Lepisosteus oculatus: one gene and its partners. The protein of the gene in region 2 interacts with the protein of the main gene of each other region in a biochemical or structural test. Links are inferred from orthologs where the notes say so. Each region holds a gene or a part of one and is shown on either strand. Other genes may lie near its edges.

Region 1 (6,843 bases), on a different chromosome or scaffold from region 2:
AATGAAAAGAAAAACTCGAGTCACCATTGAAAAAAATCACCAAAACAGAAACAAGAGGCATAAACAGGGATACAATCATCACTTGACAAGGAAAACCCTTATTATAGTATATCATTCAGCACACAGAGTGTATTACTGCCATTTCCCTATCCATTTATTTAGTATAGGGTTGTGGGAGGAGCTGGAGTCTATCTCACTCCATCACAGGGCACACACAGACACAGACATGCACACACTCGCACCACGGCCAGTTTTCCCAGAAGCCAAATGAACCTACCAGTATGTCTTTGGACTGTGGAAGGAAACCGGAGCACCCGGAGGAAAACCACGCAAACACGGGGAGAGCATAGAAACTCCATGTGGAAATTAACCCCCTGCGCCACACCATGAGGAACTCAGTATCTGCCATACTTTTCTAAGCAATTTCTTGTTACAAATGCCTTAGTGAGGGATCTCTGAGTGTCATGTAACTGATCCACAGGCTTGCTCTGGTATCTTTCTTTGGAAAAAGGCCATGTTTGATGATCCCTTTAATTATATAATTCTTACTTAATTATCGTTTACAATTCTCGGTACCTGAGAGTGATGGCTCTGGCCACTGGATCATTGCTGTGAATGACGGAGAAAATCCTCTTGACAAACTCATCAACATTTAAGATTTTTTCCAGGTGCTTCTCACTCTGTTGAGTCACCTTCAGCACACAGAGCCGTAGAAAATTGTTTCTGTGACAGAAAGACAGAACAATTGGGAGATAATGCCTACTGTTCATAAAAACACAAAAACTAAGGGTCCATCTTATTTTAAGATGGTTAAAAAGTAGATGTTTGTGACATACACCCTAGTATCACATTCAATTGGGTTTTAACATTACAGAATTTTAAAACAAGTCAGAAAGGAATATGATAACATTTCTCATTCAGCTAAAAAAACACAAGTTACTTTTTATTTTTGAAAAACATGTAATGACTCATTGGAATGTAAGTAATATAATAATAAACTGTGACTGCCAGATGAGCCCTGTTGTTGACTGCACTTTCAAAATTTTACAGGAAACAAAAGAGACGACCCCTTCTCTTAGGAATTCAAGGGAACGAAGGTGACATTCAGAAATGATGCTGTTAGATTTTGTTTGTAATGTCAAATTCAGCTTTCGTAGAGTAGCATTGTACTACCATGCAGAAGTCACTGAGTATTCCGAAATCACTAATTTCTAAAGTCTGGGACCACCTGTACTTTTTGTTCAATTAGGCCAGTAATTTTTCCAATTAAAGGAACACTTGTCCTTCAGGACTGAAGAGTTTTGCTCCCAATAATCTTCATACTACTTAATTTAACAAATTATCTGTGACTGATCACCAGTTACGTTTTGCATGGCTTCAGAACATGGTGAGTTCATGCTGCCATACTGTATAAAACCTTCTCCATTGAGGCATGCAAAAACTAAAACAGCCTGAAAAATCACACTAAATGCAAAAATTGTTTGATTTTTTTTCAATTTAGCAAGAAACCCTAAGAAGCAACTCAGTTAAGCAGAGCAGTAAAAGACGAAGTGCTGTGCTTGGAGGGGAGCTCATTTCAACACATACCCCAGTCTGAAGATGTCTGCCAGTTTCAGAAAGGCGGAGTTGATCAGGATAGGGAACGGGTATTTCTGGAACAGCTTGGGAAAGAGCACCACAGCTTCACACTGTTCTCCAAGCTTGCCGGACCGCAGCCCTTCAGGGGGGGAACGATTTTTACAATACTGGTTAGTAAAAAAACTGTGCTGCTGCACATCTGAAGACTCCAACTTAGGATTTCATACAGTAAATAACTTAAGATGAAAGAATTCAGGTGATACAACAATCTTGCAGTCTTTACAAGGATTGGTGCAGGATCTAAAAAGGATTTAGTGTATGTATATATGATTCAATGACATATACAGAAATACACAGCTAATGGAGGAAAAACAGAACTCATTCATTACATTAATTAAGCAATTAACAACCCAGCGTTCTTAGAGTCATGTATAGAAATGCTGGACAGGCCTGGTTGGCCTTTATTATAACTTCAAGGGGAGACATCAGTGACTTTGAAGGGGTGTTTAGCAGAAACTTAAGTGATCAAGAGTCATAGTGTCTAAGCTGATTTCAGCATGGAACCCAATAGAAAAGACATCTTCGGTCAGTCCTAACAATGGGTCAGTATACTCCAGGATGGTAATATCCAAGCATTAATCAGAACTACAAATTTCATCCTGGGGCACAAGCAGCCAGTTTAATCAAGAGAAATGCTGAGAAATCCACACAGCAGGATCATTTAGACGGGTTGCACAGCGCAAATCACTCATTACCTCTTGTAACACACGCCTGTAAGACTAGTGGTGCAAAGAGCACAGCAAATGGACTATCAAGTACTAGAAAAAGGTCATTTGTTTAGATAAATCGTTCTTCACCATTTTTGGCACCATCCTATAGAACTCTACAGCCCTGGGTACAGTAATGTTAAGGGGTACATTTTCCTGCCACAGTTTAGGTGAACTCCTTCCCTTAGAAGGTAAGGTTAATGTAACCACTACTTAATGGCACTGAGTGATCACCTTCACCCTGTGTTGCAGAATTTCTTCCCTGCCTGGAGGGGAGTCTTCCAGGATGTCAATGCCCTTAGCGCACGTGGTCACCCAGTGTTTTGATGAAGGTGACACTGCTGTTTTCCACATCACATGGCCTTCTCTGTTACCTGATCCAAACTCTACCAAGCATTTATGGGATATTCTGAACCGTGGGGTGAGATAGTGTTTTCCACTTCCATTAACCAGGTGAGAGTTGATTGGCTTTCTCGTGGAAGAATGGTGCTGCATCCCTTCTGCAGAATTGCATGGCACATTCGTGCATTCATTCCACTGGGTTGTGCATATTCTGTCTACTATCTGTATATACATAATATACTGTATATGTTACGATTTAGATTACACCATATAGCGCAGCAATCACTGAATAATAAGGACTGAACAAATTCGTCTCTCTCAGTAAAATGATTAATCATTGATCCAACAATTAGTTTAACTGCCTAATCTATACTGTGAGCAGCAGAGTCACAGTGGAACGGAAGAACCAAAACGGCCTAGGCTGGTGTTTACATGAATCCACCAAAACAAAGTATTTTTATTACAGAACAGCAGCACCCATGAACGACCTCTTACATTTTTAACAGCTCGAAGCTCAAAGCATTGCACGCGTTTTACTCAGGTGTGTGTAACTACCTTTGTCCAGCTCCATCAGAGCAGAATTGGCATCTAATTCTTGCTCCCCGTAACCAGCTTCTGACAAGAATGATCGCGCCGTTGTTAAAGACATGATTCCTAGACTGAAAGTCAAATATAGTCAACAATTTTCTCTATTACAATATACGTTTGAGAATCTGATTTTAAAAAGGACTTTTCAATTAAAACACAATCATACTGCATACATGGCACAAAAGAAACTGCTACATCCCAGCAGTGCAAAGCGGCAGGAAGTGACATAAACACTCGACTACCCGCCCATGACGTAAACGTGCTGCCGCCACTAGGCCGCAAGAAAGGCGCAATAACGTGACATCAGTGGATATTCAAAATGCTAGATGACCGGGAAGTTTTGGTACCTGTTTGAGGAGGTAATATTTTCTGTAGGTTATGGGAGAGGGTTGGGATCTGTACTTTATTGAGTAGTTAATCTGGATCCAGGTATCTCTGACTGGTACTCGCTTTGTTACGCAGAGTGGGTGGAGTCTGACCACTCTGTGCTTTCTTGACCAATCATGTAGCGAAACGTCATTTAGGCGGGTGTTTCGTATTCTTTTTTCATTTCTGAGTTCGCGGGAAAGGGTACTTGTGTATTTCATTAGGAAGAGATACACAGCTAGTGGTGCTGCATTGTGAAATTTAAATCCATTTAATTTGCAATTGAGTTTTAAACACAATAACAAATTGCAAGATGCTATTTCGTTCCATTGTTGATAGAGGAGTTCTCAGAAGGAGGCACAATGGTAAGTTAAATTAGCTGCTAGGTGATGATTTAATATAGAGTACTGGCTCTCTAGTCAATTAATCTTCAAAACTGGGGGAGGAATGCGTTAGATCTTCACATTTTGCCTCTTAAATACCTTGCATAGTATTTGAATCAAGACTTATTTAAAGAGAGAAAGTAAAAAGATCGACCATTTCTTGTTTAACTTGTTTCTTTTGGGGGGCGTTCTGAAATTAGCTTTTGTGTCTATTTATGCCATTATCTTCTAATTATGAGGTGATCAACGCGGATGAATATATTTAAAGTGCTTTTCATTCATTTTATTTTTCCTAAAGTAAAAGGATTCGCTTTTGCTGCTCAAAATGGTGCTCTTTCTTCCTCTACGGTGGGGTGTTAAAATGTAAAGATGAGGGGGTTGGGTGGGAAACACGCTTCAATACGATTCATTTTCGGTTTTTCTCTGTGTGAAACCATCTAAAATCAGCTTCTTAACTCATCGGTTTCGAGAAAGCAATACCAAAATCCATTATATTGATGATATTGGTGATCGCGATGTGGACACGGAAGCTTTTATCAATGCGATCAGTATTTCTAAAACAGAGGCCACACTGTAAAACGGCGTTTAGACCAATGAAACTTTTAGGATTCATTGAATTTATTTATGAAACTCTTAACTGTTCTATTTAACGTTAAACTATATTTTAAAGGATTTAAGCAAAATCGCGTACGAAGTAGATCGTAGAAACTTACACTCTGACGGAGTTTTTTAAATGAATAGATGTGGACGGGAGCGGTCGCGCGGGCTTAATTTAACAAGAATGAATGAACTCTCAACACTGTTTTCCCTTACAGGGCCGGAGCGTGTGTATCCGCTTTCCTCCCTGTTAGATTGTTACCAGTGTGCTAGACAAGATGAGCACATCTCGTATGGCGATATGGGGGTTCCAGTTCCTCCCTTCGGATGCACGTTTTCTACAGGTAGAGGATCGCCAAAAAGTCTATTTGTGTTTTAGCCTGTTACAAGCTAAATATGATGTGGATTGAAATAAATCGCCCTCATCTTAAATCCTCACTTTTTGCTCATTTCCTTATTTGGTTTGATATTAAATCCAGTAACGTGACTGGGTTTTTTCTTTAAATCCCACTCTGTAGCTTTACCTGTTGAGGGCACCTCGTTTGAGTTCTAAATTGGAAGAATGGATTTGGGGATTATCTTCGATCCTGCTTCATTTTGAAACCCATGTAGCAGATATAAAAAGTCTACACACCCTTACTGAAATTACAGGTTTTTGTGATGTAAAGCCAGAAATCAAAGAAAAATTATGTCAGACATATTTGCGTCTTTAATGTGACCTTGCACCCAACAAAACTCAAGAGAAAAACAAATGGATAATTATTAGGAAAAATAATTTAAATAAAAAATAACTGCTTTATGCACAGTGCTTGTTTTTCCTTCTTAGAAATGTTCTAGGTTACCTCCTAAGGTGTCCGCTCTTTAGAGGGGGTTGGGGAGGATGTTTCTGCATTTCTTTGTGCAGGAATCTCTAGGCTACTCTTAAATTACAGTAGGTTCAAAATTCGGAAGCTAAATCCCGACTAGGTCACTTACAAATGATCTTGTCACGTCACTCCTGTTTTGGAGTGTTTGGATTCCTGTTCCTGTTAATTTCCAAATCCTTCTTACCTTCATTAGTCTACATGGTGCGACCCTCTGGTATCTAGTCAGTATCTATACCCTTTTCCTCCTTTCCACTCTTTTTGACTTGGATCTTTTTTGGTGTTTCTGTGGTTCATCTACACTTTCGGGGTGATACCACATTCTGTCGCTATGCTCTGGAATACCATCTATGAGTAATGCAGCAACATTTTAGTGCTTTTAATTCTAGTCTAAAACCTTATTTTTCTGAAAAACATTGTCACTGTTTTATATTCTTTATCTCCTTCGTTTTTTGGCTTTGTGATTTGACCTTATTGTGAAATGTACTTTTTATGTATTGTAAATTCCGAAATTACTTTTTAACACAACTATGTTAAAGCTTGTTATATAGATGTCAGGTATAGGTGTTTAGCTTTGTTTAGTCTTTATCAGAGGCGTTTAAAGAGCAAATTACAACTAAATAAGGATGAGTTAAGACGAACATCATCTTTTATACAGCTGAACAGTTTACATGTCTTATTAAAGGACTTTTATGTCTAGAAAGACACGGCAAGTTAATGGCTGTTGACAAACAGCACACTGTTCTGTAAAATTAATTTGGTGTTGACTGGAGTTCATCTGCTTGTGAGATTTCTTTTCTGAAAATTGTGAGTTAGCAGTAATTTTTACAAAATTGCTTAGTGTCAGATTTAAGACGTGAAAATGGATTCTGTTACTCGTAGTTAGTTCCTCTGGTGTTATACACAGAAAACTTTTCTCAGGATAATTGTCGCTGTAACGTGGGTCTCTGTTCACTAGCTCCAGGCCTGCAGCAGATCCTGGCTGTGGCAAACGAAGAAGGTGTCGTCAGGCTGTACGACACAGAGTCACGCAGGCGTCCACTTTTGAAAGGTAAAGAGTGATTGAAAGGGTCTCCATTTATCTGAATCAACTCTGCTTCTTTGCTTGATTCCCCCCCCCTCCCCCCAGTCATAACATCGTCATACAGCACAAGCCTTTGCTTATAAAGTTTCCGTCTAACAGACCTAAAGTGGAATGAACTACGACTGTTGGAGCCATTGTCCTCCCTGTTCCAATACCTTGCAATACCTTATTGCCACACTTCACTTCCTGAAAAGATCCTGATGTGAATAGTGTCCCCTAAGATGTGAGCACTCGTCACTTTTCCACACAAAAGAAAAACACCAGACCAGGAGGTG
Region 2 (7,222 bases):
CGCCACAGAGTGCCGGGCCAAGGGCACAGTCAGGGACAGGTGGGAATACAGGCCCCTTCTTTCTGATCGGGCACTATTTCCATTATGTAGGACACAACACTCCAAGGATACAACTACCTTGTCAGCTTCTGCAGGGTACAGCTTGGCTCCAGGGGACGTCAGCCCTGGGCACATGATGTTGGCTCCGCTCAGGACAAATTTAATGGCTCCTTTATCTACTTGCTGGTGTGGAAGAATAAAGGGATCTAAGAGAGCAAGGTAAACACAAAAGCACTCAGGTTAATATCCTCCACCCAGCAGTCAAATATGTAATTTGATGAAGGATGAGAAAAACAAACTATGGATCTTGTTTGCTACCATGAGATTAACTGACTATAGACCATTTCATTCAATATTATTTATCCATTCATTTTCGAACTGCTTCTTCCAATTCAGGGTGGTGGGGGAGCCAGAGCCTATCCCAGCCAGCCATGACTGCTGGGCAGGATACAGCCTGGGCAGGACGCCAGTCCATCTCAGGGCACTCACAGACACAAACGCAGACGCGTACTCCCACCAGGGCCCAGCGCTGTGATGCTACCCATAAATTCCAACCACTGCGCCACCATGCCACCCATGAAATACTTATATTAAATAGAAACAACATTGGATATAAAGACGAAACAGGAAGGAATGAAGAGAACAAGTAGGAAACGCATCACTGTCAGGAACACTTAAAGATCACAAAAAAGTCATGAAAGAGCAGACTGACTGAAAATGCAGAATTAAGAGCCACGTTCAAATCTTCAGTCTTCTCACCCTACATACAGCTCTGGAACTGCTCTGCTATCACATTACAAACAAACAACACCGGCCGTTTTCCTCTGAAGCCGTGAGAAAAGGAGCAGCCAAGAGCTTACATTTATGAAGCAGTCTCAGTGTGGGGTAGAACGGGCCCTCTCTCTGCCTGAAGAACAGCAGCTCCCCGTTCACAGTCAGGATTTCAATGTGCTCGTGGCTGCAAACGATCGAAACACCAAGTTCACGCAGCTGCACCCCACAAAGCGTCCCCTCATCGATCCGCACTGGTGCGGCCGGGTCCACGGCGCCCCTACGGCGCTCTCTTCCAACTGCTCACAGCCTGCTCGGTTCTCAGGCCTGCGAGTCTGCCTTCACGCTGGCAAGAGAGCTCCTGCAGCTGGCTGTGTCGGGGCAGGGAGTGCCATGGGGCAGGGGGCCTGCAGCCTCACAGACACCCTGAGAGAGAACTGGGCTGGGCACATAACTGCCAAGTCCACAGACCCGTCAGAGTGTGAGCAATTAAAAGAAAACCCGCATGCCTTTATTGGGTTTGCAGATGTGCTAACCTGCAGTAAGCAATACCTCTTTGCCTTCTGAAGCCTTCCCTGCATGATCCTTAAGCAAACTTTCAGTTCCCTTTCAAAACAGCAGAAGGCAACTAGGCTTTCTGCTTATCAGGCGTTGTCAGTCTAAGACAGATATATTACAGAAGTCACAGACAGCCAATCTTAATCTAAAAGGTGGTAAAACCTGTTTCTTTATCTCTTCCCCATGTTAGCTAAGATGCCCAAATCTGCTGGTTCTAGAGAGAATTAGACCACAATGAACACAGGGGTTCTCAGGTATGCGGATTACCATCGGACGATTTTGACAGGATCTTTTTTCGGCATGATCTGATTAAGCCATGAATCGATGTCAGGAAACTGCTCCAACAGCTGGTTCTTTATGCCTTTGATGACAGACGTCTTCAGCTGTATGCAATTGGAAACATTTTCCTTCTCGTCAAACCTGGAATGAGATTACAAAGAGGGGTTCAAAGCTGTGCGGTAAAATATGGGGGTAAGTGGCTCTACATCAGGAGGGCAAACCGCACCTTCTCAAGTCCCGGGGTAGCCTAGCTTGGAGAGTTGGATCTATGTAACATTAAAGTCTTATTTCGTTTTAAGAAAACAAGAATCCTGTATGACGGTAATAGAAAGCTGAGATAAAATGGATTTAAACAAAATATACTGTCTTCCTTAGAAACTCCCGTGCTTTGAAATGCGAGAAAAGATTTAGTCTCATCATAACACAAAAACATATGTAATTCAAGAAAATCTACTACAATGTAACACGTAACAGCGCATAGACAGAAGACTTTTACATATTTTTAAAAACACTACATAGGTGCAAGACAGTATTTTAAAAAAAGAACACTTGAAAGGCATAGAGACTATTATTAAAATGTTTCTGGACGTCACTGGCTCAGACCAACGGCTGCAAATTGAGACACAGACAAATCACTGCCAAAGAAACAAAACACCCAACTTTTTAAACATCCTCGGTCGTCACCCCTGCTGAATAAGCGAATTCTAACTGAAGCTCCTGGGCACGCAGTCTTCAGTAAATCATGTAAGTATAATTCAGTCTCCACGCTTGTTCTCAGTGTACCGCACACACAAGCTCTTCACGATTTTTACAGCAGAAGAGCTACGACTGCGCGACAGCGTCGATCGGTTTACGGCACCCGGCTTCTACCATAGAGTTCAGTTTCGGTTTCTAGAGGGATTTCCTTTTAGGGCATGTGTTCCTGTCTCACACCTCTTGTCCAGAGTTGGATCCCGCCGTGGGAGTCGTTTGTGTTGAAGTCTTTATGTTATCAACCCCTTGGCTATTAGTGAGTGCGTTTGTTTGGTTTCAGTAGCCCGAAGACATGCTGTCTGACACTTATTTAAAGTGTCTTCCGTCGGCGATGCGATGCACTGGGGTCCAGTCCGGTCTGTATCCTGCCTTGCAGGAAAATGTCTGGATGAATCCTGTATAATTAATCAAAGACTGAAACATTACAAAATACATACACAACTAATCAAACTATAATACAACCTACGTTATAGCAGCTCCGGTCGCAGAGCTAAGAGCAAACTAAGTACACTGGACAAAAGCGTCTAGCATGTATACCCTGTATTTTATTTATGTAAATACTTTTCAAAAATGATTTTTTTTTTTATCTGGTAAACAACATGCTATTGAGAAGTTGTGTGGTTGGTCTGCTCATTGTGTTGCTGAGAACTAATTTGCACTTATCTAATGATAGTAACCAACCTCTCTTTGTCCTGTTCTCCATTTGTGCCTTACCCACGGACTATCTTTTCGCCTATCATATGGTTCAAATGTGGTGTCATTTCTGCTTCAACGTCATAATTACAATTACAAAAACAAGGAATGTTTGCCTTTACATGCCAAATCCAGTACATATTCGACACAAGCAGAAGCGTGAAATGAGGTTTAAGACACATTTAACATTTTTCTCTGGGTTTGGTTCCGGCCTTGTGCACCTCCTGTGTGAAGTTTACATGTTCCTCCTGTGCCTGGATTTCTTCGACAACGCCGGTTTCCTCCCACCTTTTAAAATCCTTCAGTCCAGCTTACTGGTTTCTCTTAGCGATCACAGCGTGTTTGTGTCAGGCGATAGGCTGGCACCCTCTCAAAAAGAGCAGTCTCTCTTTAACACCCTGTCCTTCCGGAAAGGGATCCGCATTTCTTCGAGTCTGCGACACCTCCCAGGAATAATCTTGCCAAGACTGTTTTTATAATGAATGGATGTGCGAAACGTGTCTTGGTATTGAATAGCAGCAGAAAAAGGAATGAAATAAGGACTATACAATTTTTTTATTAATATTTCTTCCTTATAATAAAGACTTTTATTATAACGAAACCTTACTGAGTAAAGATGAATCAGGGGTAGCTAAGATATATATATATATTTGGGTAGCTGAGTTATTTAACCTAGCCCTAACCTCTCTGGTTATGCAATTAAGTTCATGTTCCACGTCATAATGGTTATGTACATTAACTTGTAACCTTTTCTTTTTTAGATTAAACGTGATCAAATAATAGCTTTTAAAATATAATACTAACCCGAAGGTGTTTTTTTTTCTCTTAAAAAGAAAACTTGAATCGAAACTTCAACTAGTTCAGACTGTCAGGGCGCCACCTGGGGGCTAAAGTCCAGAATACAAGTGGCCACTTTTCCCCCGATGCTTGCGATGAAAGACGGAAGTACTTCCGGTAGGTCAAGCTATGGTTATACTTGATTATAAGTTGGTATTCAGATGTGGGGCACATTAATCTCGAGAATACTACAGTCTCCAGGGATAGTCTAGGCTTCTGTGGCAGAAAACTCGACCATGGGGTTAAAAACGTTTTTCAGTCCGTGGAGTTCAAGTGCGCCCCGGAGGAAGTAGTTTCCAGCCATCTTTTTTTTTGCCAATAACAAGAAAGAGGATCTAAGAGTGGAGCAGTAGTCTCATTTTATTGTCTGTTTTCAATTAAAAAGAGACGAGAACGTGTGAAATAAGAGGAGTCGAAGCTCAAAGACACACGGAGCGTCAACGTCAAACCTGAAGGCTCTTAGGATTAACAGACTGGCTATTTGATTTTGTAATTTTTTTCATGTTTCCAACAGGTTTATCTACCCCTAATCCCCCACCGCCAGCTCAGGAGGTTAGACCAGCAGCTTCTGATGGTAATAACGGTAGCAGCAATAATTCAACGTCCAAAAAGAGAAAAATAAACAGCTCCGAAAAGGAAGACTTTGATTCCCTGTCTTCGTCTCCTCCCAAAAACATCAGTGCGTCCTGCTCCTCCGGGTCTCCCACCTCTCACCACATACAAAAGAAACTGAGGTTCGAGGACTCCGTGGATTTCATTGGGCTGAATGTGAAAATGGCTGAGGAGTCATCTTCATCATCTGCATCGTCCAGTAACAAGGCAAAAAACGCCTTTCTGGCCGCCGGGGTCGGACACCACGCTAACGGACTGACCAAAACCTCGACCGGTTCCGCCACCTTCTCCAACAGTAAACCCGGAGCTGCCAAGAAACTAGTGATCAAGAACTTCAAAGGTAACCTTCCTGCACGCCGGCCGCTGCCAACTCGCTGCCCCCTCTCCCCCAGGCCGAACCGTGCGATGACGAGCGGTGCTTGGCTCAAAGTCGGTGGAAGTTTAAATTACGGCATTTAATCATCACCCGTCTTACGTACTGAGGTGTTATTTAGATCTTTTAAGTGTTTCTCCTCTCTAAATGCGTCCGTTGGTCGTGGTGTAATTAAGAGCATCGGCAGATTTAAACAGGTTTGGGCTGCTACTGCTCCAGTGTTGTGAAGGTTCGATTACCTGTGTAAAACCTCAGAGGTGTTTTGCTCAGATGTTTGTTCCTATGAAAGCCTTCTGTTGATGCCAGATAGGCAGCCTTTACTCTAACGTTGTAAAGCATAGTTGTAGGAACCTGAGTAGAGTGAGCACGGGGCTCCCTAGCCTTTTAAATGGCTCGTTCTTAACGCTGTCAGTCATGGCAGACTTGCCTCAGTGAAACTACTACAGACTCGTACAGAATTCACTACAGTACAGCTCTGTGGGTGTCTGTAGCCATATTAATGAAACAGGCAGGTAACGTGCACTATTTTTCAAGTCCTCTCCTGCTTTTTCAAGATCACAGTCTGTATCGTTGTCTTTCCCTTTAGCGGAGAATTGAGCTCTGGGGCTCTGTTCCACATGCTGTATGCCTGTTAGGCGTGTTGCCGCTGTTGTCATTTACTTGCACTCACCTCATTCTGCGAGGCCACGTGTTGGGGAGCTGTAAATGAATGGCGAGCACCCCAGCACCACCCCGCACACTGACCTCAAGAAACCTCTCCATTGCGATCCTCCTCTTTTGCAGAAAAGCCCAAATTGCCAGAAAACTATACCAACGAAACCTGGCAGAAACTGAAGGGGGCAGTGGAGGCCATTCAGAACAGCACTTCAATCAAGTATAACCTAGAGGAGCTCTACCAGGTATGACAAACAGACTTTGTCCATTCCTGCTGCGGGCTGGTTGTGCAAGGAAGCCCGAGGCTTTGTGTCATTCGAACGACTGGGTTTAATTCATGTCTGTTCTCCTGGCTGCAAGCGTGTCGGTAAACTGTTTCCTTTGATTCCATTTCTTAGAGCATTAACACTAATCGCTGGTAACTGCTGGGGTCTGGCTGCCCTTGATCGGGACCAGCATAATCAGATTGCCCCAATTAAACAGGAAATTAACATAAAACTGCAGCCAGTTGCTGTCGTCTAGCACATCAGTAGTACAAGTAAAGGGGTTGTGGATGTTATAGATTAAAGAGCAAATTGTTTTCGGCTTTCACTGTGACCTATTCACTGTCCATTGAGAATGCAGACATCTTTGGTGTTTTTACTGAATTTATACATGGGATACAGGACTGTTGCTTTTTATATAATCTACTGAAGTTGGATGTGTAATCATTCTGTTGAATGAAATGGCTTGTATTTTGAAACTGGAATTGCTGATGGGAAGAGGCTGTTTTGTAGCCCTTAATGCATTTTTAGTAAGTTTTTGTTTCATGGAATGGTTGTGTGCATGTTTTTTGGATTAGAGACTTTTAAATTCATAGGATTGCTTATGTACAGAGTATGGTGTTACTGTGCAGTTGACTTGTGAATTATTATGAAATGAGATGGTTTGCTTTTAAAGACACCATATTCAATAATAAAGTGAAGGGCACCATATTCAGTGATAACAGGCTGTAGGTTGTATAAAAAGCTCATATCACAGTAGAAAAAAACAAAAATGTAGAGGATAAAACCATCGTGCGAAAAAGACATTCTACAAGCACCCAAAGTCCTGATTTCTGCTAGGATGATGTTCCAAGCTGCCCTGGAGCATAGCAACAAAAAAGTTTGTTGATCATAAAAGTGTAGATGAGCTGTGGGAACACAGTGAGACAGAGTCACCTGAGCAAAGAAATCGATACCATGTTTGCTAGATAAGGAGGAGCCATAACCTAAAGCCTTGAACGAAAGCAGACAGATTTTAAAATCGACTTGAAATGTGACAGGCAACCTGTGCACGGCTCCAGAATAGGAGTGATGTGATCACTTGCCTATGACCTCTTTAGGGTACTAGCTGCCAAATTCTGAATTTAAGTGCTGCTTATATCCATTTTATCTGAGAATGTGACCTCAAGAAATCTCACCACTGCAAGATATAAATGTGTAAACTGTATATACTCAAAATAACTTACTGCGAAAGCTGTGTGAATGCATGATTAAATTTGTTTCATAGAGTGCTTTTTGTATGCTCACCAATAATGTGAGTGAAATGGGTTTTTTCGTTGCTTAGGGGACTGCATCAGTTTTGTAGGTTCAGACATTAATTTTAGGCTAATGTAGTTTTTTGATGGTTTGA
Region 3 (6,870 bases), on a different chromosome or scaffold from region 2:
ATCATACAGCAGAACTTAAAAGGGAATACACTGATCATCAAAGATGATTACAAAGTCACCAGTGTGACATGTGAACATGTGGACCATGTTGAACAGATTGGTTATGATTTTGAAAAAAAGAAGATAAAAATGGTTGACTCAATGCCTGTGATCCAGATGAGACTGGACTGTTGTTGTGACACAGTACAGTTTTTCAGATGTACTGATGACTGAGATTCTGGGTAATATTCCTCTGCACTGGCAGTGAAACCATAAGCAAAAAGGCATGTTAAGATAATATACGGGCAATTTGCCTGTGTACATGCCACTATCACAGAGTTTGCTGAAGCCCGCAGAGGGTAAGCGAGGTTGTTCTTGGAAACTTGTCTGTTTGGCAGAGAGTAATCCTGAAGTGGTCTGCCAGCATCTCACGCAATAATCCAGCAAATTGCATGGCTTTATGAACAGCTCTGGGCTAAAAGGAAAAGACACACAGTCCCCTAATTGGATTTACAACACATTGATAGCCCAGACACCTTCTTCAATCCTTTGGCTGTTATATCTTTTTATTTTTTAAACCCACTACGAAGCACACAAAAGTGCCACCCTAATCCTTTCCTCCACCAATACAAGAAATAAACAGCTAGTGATCTAGTGATTTATACACAGCTCAGCTTTGAATCAGCTATAACAAAAGCGATTACCACAAACCCAAGTACGAGCAAAACTAACCCTTAATACCAGCACACAGTACAACTAACTAGTTTATTTTCTAAGTAATGGTCCGAACACACTCTTCCATATAAGCACAATACTGACCCCATCAATGGCTAGAAGAGTGATTTGGTGTAGCAAAAAAAAAAGCACATTTATGCTCACCCTATACATTTGACATTGGGTTCGCATTGAGTTTCTTCCTCACAAAATATATAGTATATTAGGTGATAACACCGAGATTTTTTTAAAGGAAATGTATTCCATGATTTCATAGTACATTTAGCAATAAACTGAACCGCACTGCACATGATTTAATATTTTGTATTTCTATGTACGGGCAAATAATTATGCAAACTATTTTAAATTACTTCTGATATGAATGCAAAAGGACCGATTTTATGCACACCTGTCAAACTTAGCACATCGCCCATGGCGTGCAATTCGTTACTTTTTTGCCACGTATATGTAACGATGGGGCCTACCACACTATAGTGCCTTTCACACAATCTCAATCTCGGCACAAATGTAGCCTTTAAATGTGCCGACAAACTTTGGCAACACGTCATGACACCAAACAAAAATGAGGACGGAGTTTTTTTTTTTTTAAACGAGTCAAGAAACGCAGAACGTTTTAGAACAGCTTTGAGAGCAACGCTCAAAAAACGAAAACTTGCATGCACTACAACTGCGCAAAGCACAAACAACGGCATCGGATCGTGATCTAAAACAAAACAAATGCGTGATTCCCGATATGTTTTAGCACAATTTTAAAAAGAAATAAAAGCAGGGAAGTGTTATGCTGGGTGTTCCTATGGTTTGCTATACGAGAGGACAGTTGAAAGGAGTGATAGTGATATACCAATTCACTTCACCCACGAGCTGCGTATTTATTACATCAAAATTAAACTGGAAAACTATCAGAGACAGTTGCACAACATGGTACAAAGAAATCAATTGTGAATACGGAGTCTTTAAATTCCAATACAATTGTTCAGTTGTGTCTCCATTCCACAGTTAACTCGTGAGCACCGCACCAGCTTAGCTCTCACAACACTTATCTAATTCTAGCCAGAATCGGAAATTATACACCCTTCATAAAAATGTCATTTGAGCTCAACACAAATCAGAAAAGATATCGCGATTTAAAGGGAGGCGTTTATTTTTACATTTTTATTTAAAAAAAACTTCCAACGTCAACAGGAAAATTGGAACAGGATTCCACACTCCTAAAATTTCCTAACTGAATCTAAAAAACGATTCTAAATCGCTCCCGGTGACACAACACTATATTATCATTAATAATACACGCAAACGGCCATTAAGATATGTTTTAAATAAGGAAATAACACAAACACACCCGAAGGCCTAGGCCTACCTTTTTTTTTCCTGTATTTTTGTTGCGAGTTTCTCCAAGACGCAGGGTACCTGTAAATGCAGCTAAAATCTCTCTTCTGATACGACTGGATAAAAACGGGTTACCCTGGCTTGCATTGATTATATTAATATCGACTGCGGCAGCGATTTTAAAAAATGTTTTCTTAAAAAACATTAAGGTTACAGCTTGTGCACACAGAACACAAAATACATTCAAATAGGCAGCCAGAACAAGCGGCTCACAGATCAGCGATATCTAGCTAATCGAAAACCGAGAGCATGGATCGCTCGTTGACGAGGAGGGTTCACGGCTCCTTGCAAAAGTATTCAGCCCCTGCAAAAATTCAGCATTTTGATTAATGCAATTTTCTAATAGAATCAAGCTCTGAGTCTGCCCGTACCACACAAGGATATTCACTCTCTTTTTGTCAGATCATTTCAGGTTTACAGCCTTGTGCCTCGGGTTATTGTCTTGGTGAAATGTGAATTTTTGACCCAGTTTTAGATTCTTAAGTGTCTGACGACGGGTTTCTTTTGGGATTTACCTTTACTTTGCACCTTCCTTCCTGAATCCTGGCATGTTTCCAGGAGTCTCTGCTGATCACAACTATCCTCAAAACACAGCCCTGCCACCAACGTGCTTGACAGTTCTGATTGGGCGATGTACTCTGCTAGACGCTATACTTTGTTTTCGGACATAAATGGACGTTTTTGCCTCATTTGACTGTAAAACCTCCTGTTGTGTCTGTGGTATCTTTCACAGGAGAGTGAAGATCAAGTGTTTTCAGTACACGCTTCCTTCGTGCTTCTTATTCATAAAGGCCTTGCCTAAGGACTGGATATCGTCAGTGTATGATTAGCGACTCCCATCTCAGACTCGGATCTTTGTTAAGTCTTTCACGGTCACTGATAGCCCCACGGTGCCTCCGTAATCCCTGTCTACTGGCCTGCTTGTCCAGCAGCTCAGTCAGAAAGGGCAGCCCGAGGTGGTAATGATGTAGCTGACGATGCAGATCTGTGCATTTTTATCACATTTCGAAAAATATTCAGGGATCACAAATATCTTTATGCACAATATTAATATATAGGGGGATAAATCGGGTATCGTCATAATGTGAGCTCTCGAAGCATACGCGGCGACGCGTACTCGCTTTAAATTAAATTATATTTTAATCCCAATCTACTGAATGCACTTCATTGCAGTTACTGTACTGTATGTTAACGTGCGGTTGATGGGATGAGAAAAAAATATTTAATCTGTACAAAATATACTGTACATACATCGTTGCAAAATATAAATCTGGTAGGTTGTAGCTAATAGAAGTACTCAAAAATGAAGCACCAAAAACAATAAAAAGCAGAAATAACATACTTATACTAAACTTTGGCGAATTAAGTTTTCCTTTGATTTGTGTACGCCATACGTCGTGCAGACGCCTTCTGCATTCGGCAAGTGTTTACCATTTTAAATTGGTATGAACAGAAAGAAAAATATTTTTCTTTGCAGTACATTTCAGTGTTGTATTGGTGTAGGCTTTTTGTTTCCTTCTTTATAGCTGAGGGGGATTTTGTGTTTGTTAAATAAAACGAAATCCCCTTGATAATGTGCGATTGATTGGATGTTTTTAACATAGGGTAAGGGGCGGACAAATATGTATTTTTGTTTGCTTTAAGGTAATAATACATTTGTTGTGAGAATACCGTCGTCGATAGCATTTGCTGCGACGCTAGATTGCACCCTTTCTGTTTGGAGAGCGGACAAGGGTCATTCAGTCACGCTCTTACAACAAAAAATAGCCATTTTACTCAATACTCTTTATTTACATATCATTTACTATATCAGTTATCATATATTTGCTCACGAAACAATTGCAATTTACCAGGTGAATGTTATACAAAATCAGTAGTGCAATTACATAGAAGACAATATACCACTAATATATTTTGTGTAATTTTGGAATTTCTTTAATATAAATTATAAATCTGTATAAAGTTCATATGTAGCGGTGCAAGAGAAAACAATATTAAGTCTGCTTTGTTTGTTTATAATGGTTGCAATACAAAATAAGATGTTTGTGCTGTAGTGTTAAGGCGATCCAATGCTTGTAACACTAGGACACGAAATATTATTATTAATAATAATAATAATAATAATAATAATAATTGCTTACACTTATATAACGCTTTTCTGGACACTCCATTCAAAGCGCTTTACAGGTAATGGGGATCCCCTCCACCACCACCAATGTGCAGCCCCACCTGATAATCCATCTAATAACACAACATGCATCCAATCACATTTGCAGTTAAGCCCATAAATACCAATACATTTATCGATTAATGTACCGAAATTTCAAACTACCTTATCCAGATATTTTAATATTATATATAGTTGAGAACCTTTTAATCTGCTAATCAAAATACTTCTAATCTCAGTTCACACTAGCCTTGCTTTCGCAATATACGAACCGGAACTGCCGGCATTCATTCACTTCCGCCCTACCAACATGGCGGCAAATTTACATACGATTGTGACGTTACATCGTAGATCACTTCTATTTTCTACGGTATGAATGGACGCTTCGTAATGTGACGTAAACACGTCGGCCCCTCCCTGTGCCGTGACACCCTTCGGTCCCCGGCCGGTTGTTTTTTTTATTTTCTCCTGAGTGGTGCGGTGATGGCGTGTGGGGTCCCTTGTTCCTCTTGGTCTGGCAGGTCTCTGTCTCTTGTCGTGCTGCTGTTAGCAGTCTCGATCGTACTGCACACGGCAGTCGGAGAAAGGCAACTGAAATTCGTCACCCTGGTAAGCCGGTGTCCCTGGATTTCGATTAATAACTTGGTCGGAGGGTAGTAAAGAGTGCAGATCCGGTGTGCTTTGTGTCTTCAGGGTTATCGATCTGTGCACCGTCCAGCTCGCCCTTGTGTCGGCGAACTGTCCTTTAACACAACATTTAAGGCGAAGTTTCATGGAAATCCGGGTGCGGCGTTTTATGCAAATAATATTCAGGCTGCACTGATCCTGTAAACGTAAGTCAGAATAAAAACATGTCATGGTTTCGGTAACGCACCTGTGCATGAGAAGAACTTTAACTTTGCCAATATAAATAATGATTTTTCTGTCGTCGTATTTTATATTCTTATATTGTTTTTCATTACTATCTGTTTCTTCTTGCTATGCACTTGCTGTAATTTAAACTCAACATAACGTTGGATGAATCGAGTAAACCTGTTATACAACGAACTGCGTAAATAGTAATTCCGTTGAGGGAAAGTAAACAAAAACCGTTTAATTGTATGCAACTCTTTAAAACACATTGAAAAGTATATGGTATTTTCGAGGTTCTGGTATTGTTCAGCAGGGGTCTCCCTCCAATTCAGTTTTGGGTCATCTTAAATTACCTGTTTTGTTACAGAACACTTTTTATGGTCTTGTGTTTTTATGGAAGTTATTGATTCAATTAAGGGAAATTGTCTTTTCAGAATGGGTGTTCAGATGTCTGTTCTGAATGATCGCCATATCACTCAATAAATCACCAGTTTAATTGATCACAATTAAATTGTATTTGGTCTTTAGAATTTGATGATTCAGTGGTACCATATAAAACCCGGAACATTAGCATGGATCATGATCAGGGGCATAGACTCTCTGTGTTTATTGCAACATTCGCTACAGTACATTCAGTACAGTGGAACTCAAGTTCCACAGTTCTTTACAAAACTGCAATTTATGGGTGAAGCAAATGGGTGCTTCTTGTGTCTGTGCGTTTTGCAAAAAGCAGTCAATAACAGTGGCCTTTCTATACTGAAATGCAGAATAAGTCATGCACAGACACAGTCAAATCTTTAGTCACATTGAGTCACTTTAAGTATGGTGATGAGTGTTACTGTCTGTCAGATAAACTGTAAAATATCTGCATCCATAGGCCTTACATTTGTGTTTGTGTTACACTCTGTAACGTGCTGACATGGAGTAAAATCTACTGTCTGTGAATATTCTACCTCAAGGCATGAATTCTCTTTTGTTATTGTTCTGCCTCTTCTGCTGTTACCTGAATTACCTGATTTGGACCCGGTGTGGTGTGCTTGCTAACATTAACATGACACAGAATGTGAGGTTATCTGATTGAAAACAATTTCCACACAACACAGCAAGTACACACTGATGAAGCAGCCCTCCAACACACACCATATTAAACAAAAATCAATGAAATGGGGGAAAAACACAGTCACATGCACATGTAAACATTAACCCTACTTTTGGCAAACAATTGTAAAAGATGCTGAAGGTAATTAGCTGAAGGGGGAGAGTTCAAAGTTCACCTGGCAGTTGGAAAGAAGCTAACGTTGAAGCAAGCAGCACCTCAGAGGATCGATTGAAAGCATTTTCCCAAAGGCAGGAGCTGAAAAAAGATTCTGAGCTGGTCTTGTAGGCGCAGCTGAAGGTATGGCTTGTGTAAAGGGATGAAATGGAAGAGAGTTCATAGCCTATTTTCGCAGTTTTGGTCCCTTCCAGTTTCTTTTGTATGGCTGTACAAGCTCCCCATACCAAACCGATCAACCTGTCACAATACTTTGAATTCTGGCTGTGTCAAACTGGGGGAAGAAGTTGGGGGCTCACTCCGTGCTTCTTAAGCAACCCGAGAAAGTACCTCCTCTGCTGCACCCTCTTCACTATGTGATCTGTGTTGGTGCTGCCTTTGAGGTTTTCACTTACGTGTGTCACCAGAAATCTGAAGAAATTTGTCACCCTATGTGACCATTGGGGGGTCATTAATGATGATGGGGAGTTTTATTTTC

What was found. The genes of interacting proteins can lie anywhere in the genome.
Region 1: the proteins of cul4b (region 2) and dtl form a complex in vitro, tested with the Homo sapiens proteins (2 studies listed by BioGRID). The link is inferred for Lepisosteus oculatus from reciprocal best matches to the Homo sapiens genes CUL4B and DTL.
Region 3: the proteins of cul4b (region 2) and ambra1a form a complex in vitro, tested with the Homo sapiens proteins (2 studies listed by BioGRID, with this or other methods). The link is inferred for Lepisosteus oculatus from reciprocal best matches to the Homo sapiens genes CUL4B and AMBRA1.

The regions. Positions count from the first base shown.
Region 1 is NC_090697.1:46,095,421-46,102,263, reverse strand, and holds the start of dtl (denticleless protein homolog), read left to right. Parts: upstream 1-3,841; 5' UTR 3,842-3,954; coding exon 3,955-4,006; intron 4,007-4,839; coding exon 4,840-4,965; intron 4,966-6,442; coding exon 6,443-6,535; intron 6,536-6,843. Other genes in the region: ints7 (integrator complex subunit 7), read right to left, coding at 577-723, 1,588-1,717, 3,243-3,336. UniProt on the Homo sapiens protein: Substrate-specific adapter of a DCX (DDB1-CUL4-X-box) E3 ubiquitin-protein ligase complex required for cell cycle control, DNA damage response and translesion DNA synthesis.
Region 2 is NC_090703.1:50,357,229-50,364,450, reverse strand, and holds the start of cul4b (cullin-4B), read left to right. Parts: upstream 1-4,208; 5' UTR 4,209-4,431; coding exon 4,432-4,882; intron 4,883-5,698; coding exon 5,699-5,814; intron 5,815-7,222. Other genes in the region: mcts1 (malignant T-cell-amplified sequence 1), read right to left, coding at 112-245, 900-997, 1,636-1,788, 2,308-2,318.
Region 3 is NC_090716.1:4,948,802-4,955,671, forward strand, and holds the start of ambra1a (activating molecule in BECN1-regulated autophagy protein 1A), read right to left. Parts: upstream 3,003-6,870; 5' UTR 2,616-3,002; intron 2,327-2,615; exon of another isoform or gene 2,072-2,326; intron 1-2,071. Other genes in the region: acp2 (lysosomal acid phosphatase), read left to right, coding at 4,751-4,876. UniProt on the Homo sapiens protein: Substrate-recognition component of a DCX (DDB1-CUL4-X-box) E3 ubiquitin-protein ligase complex involved in cell cycle control and autophagy.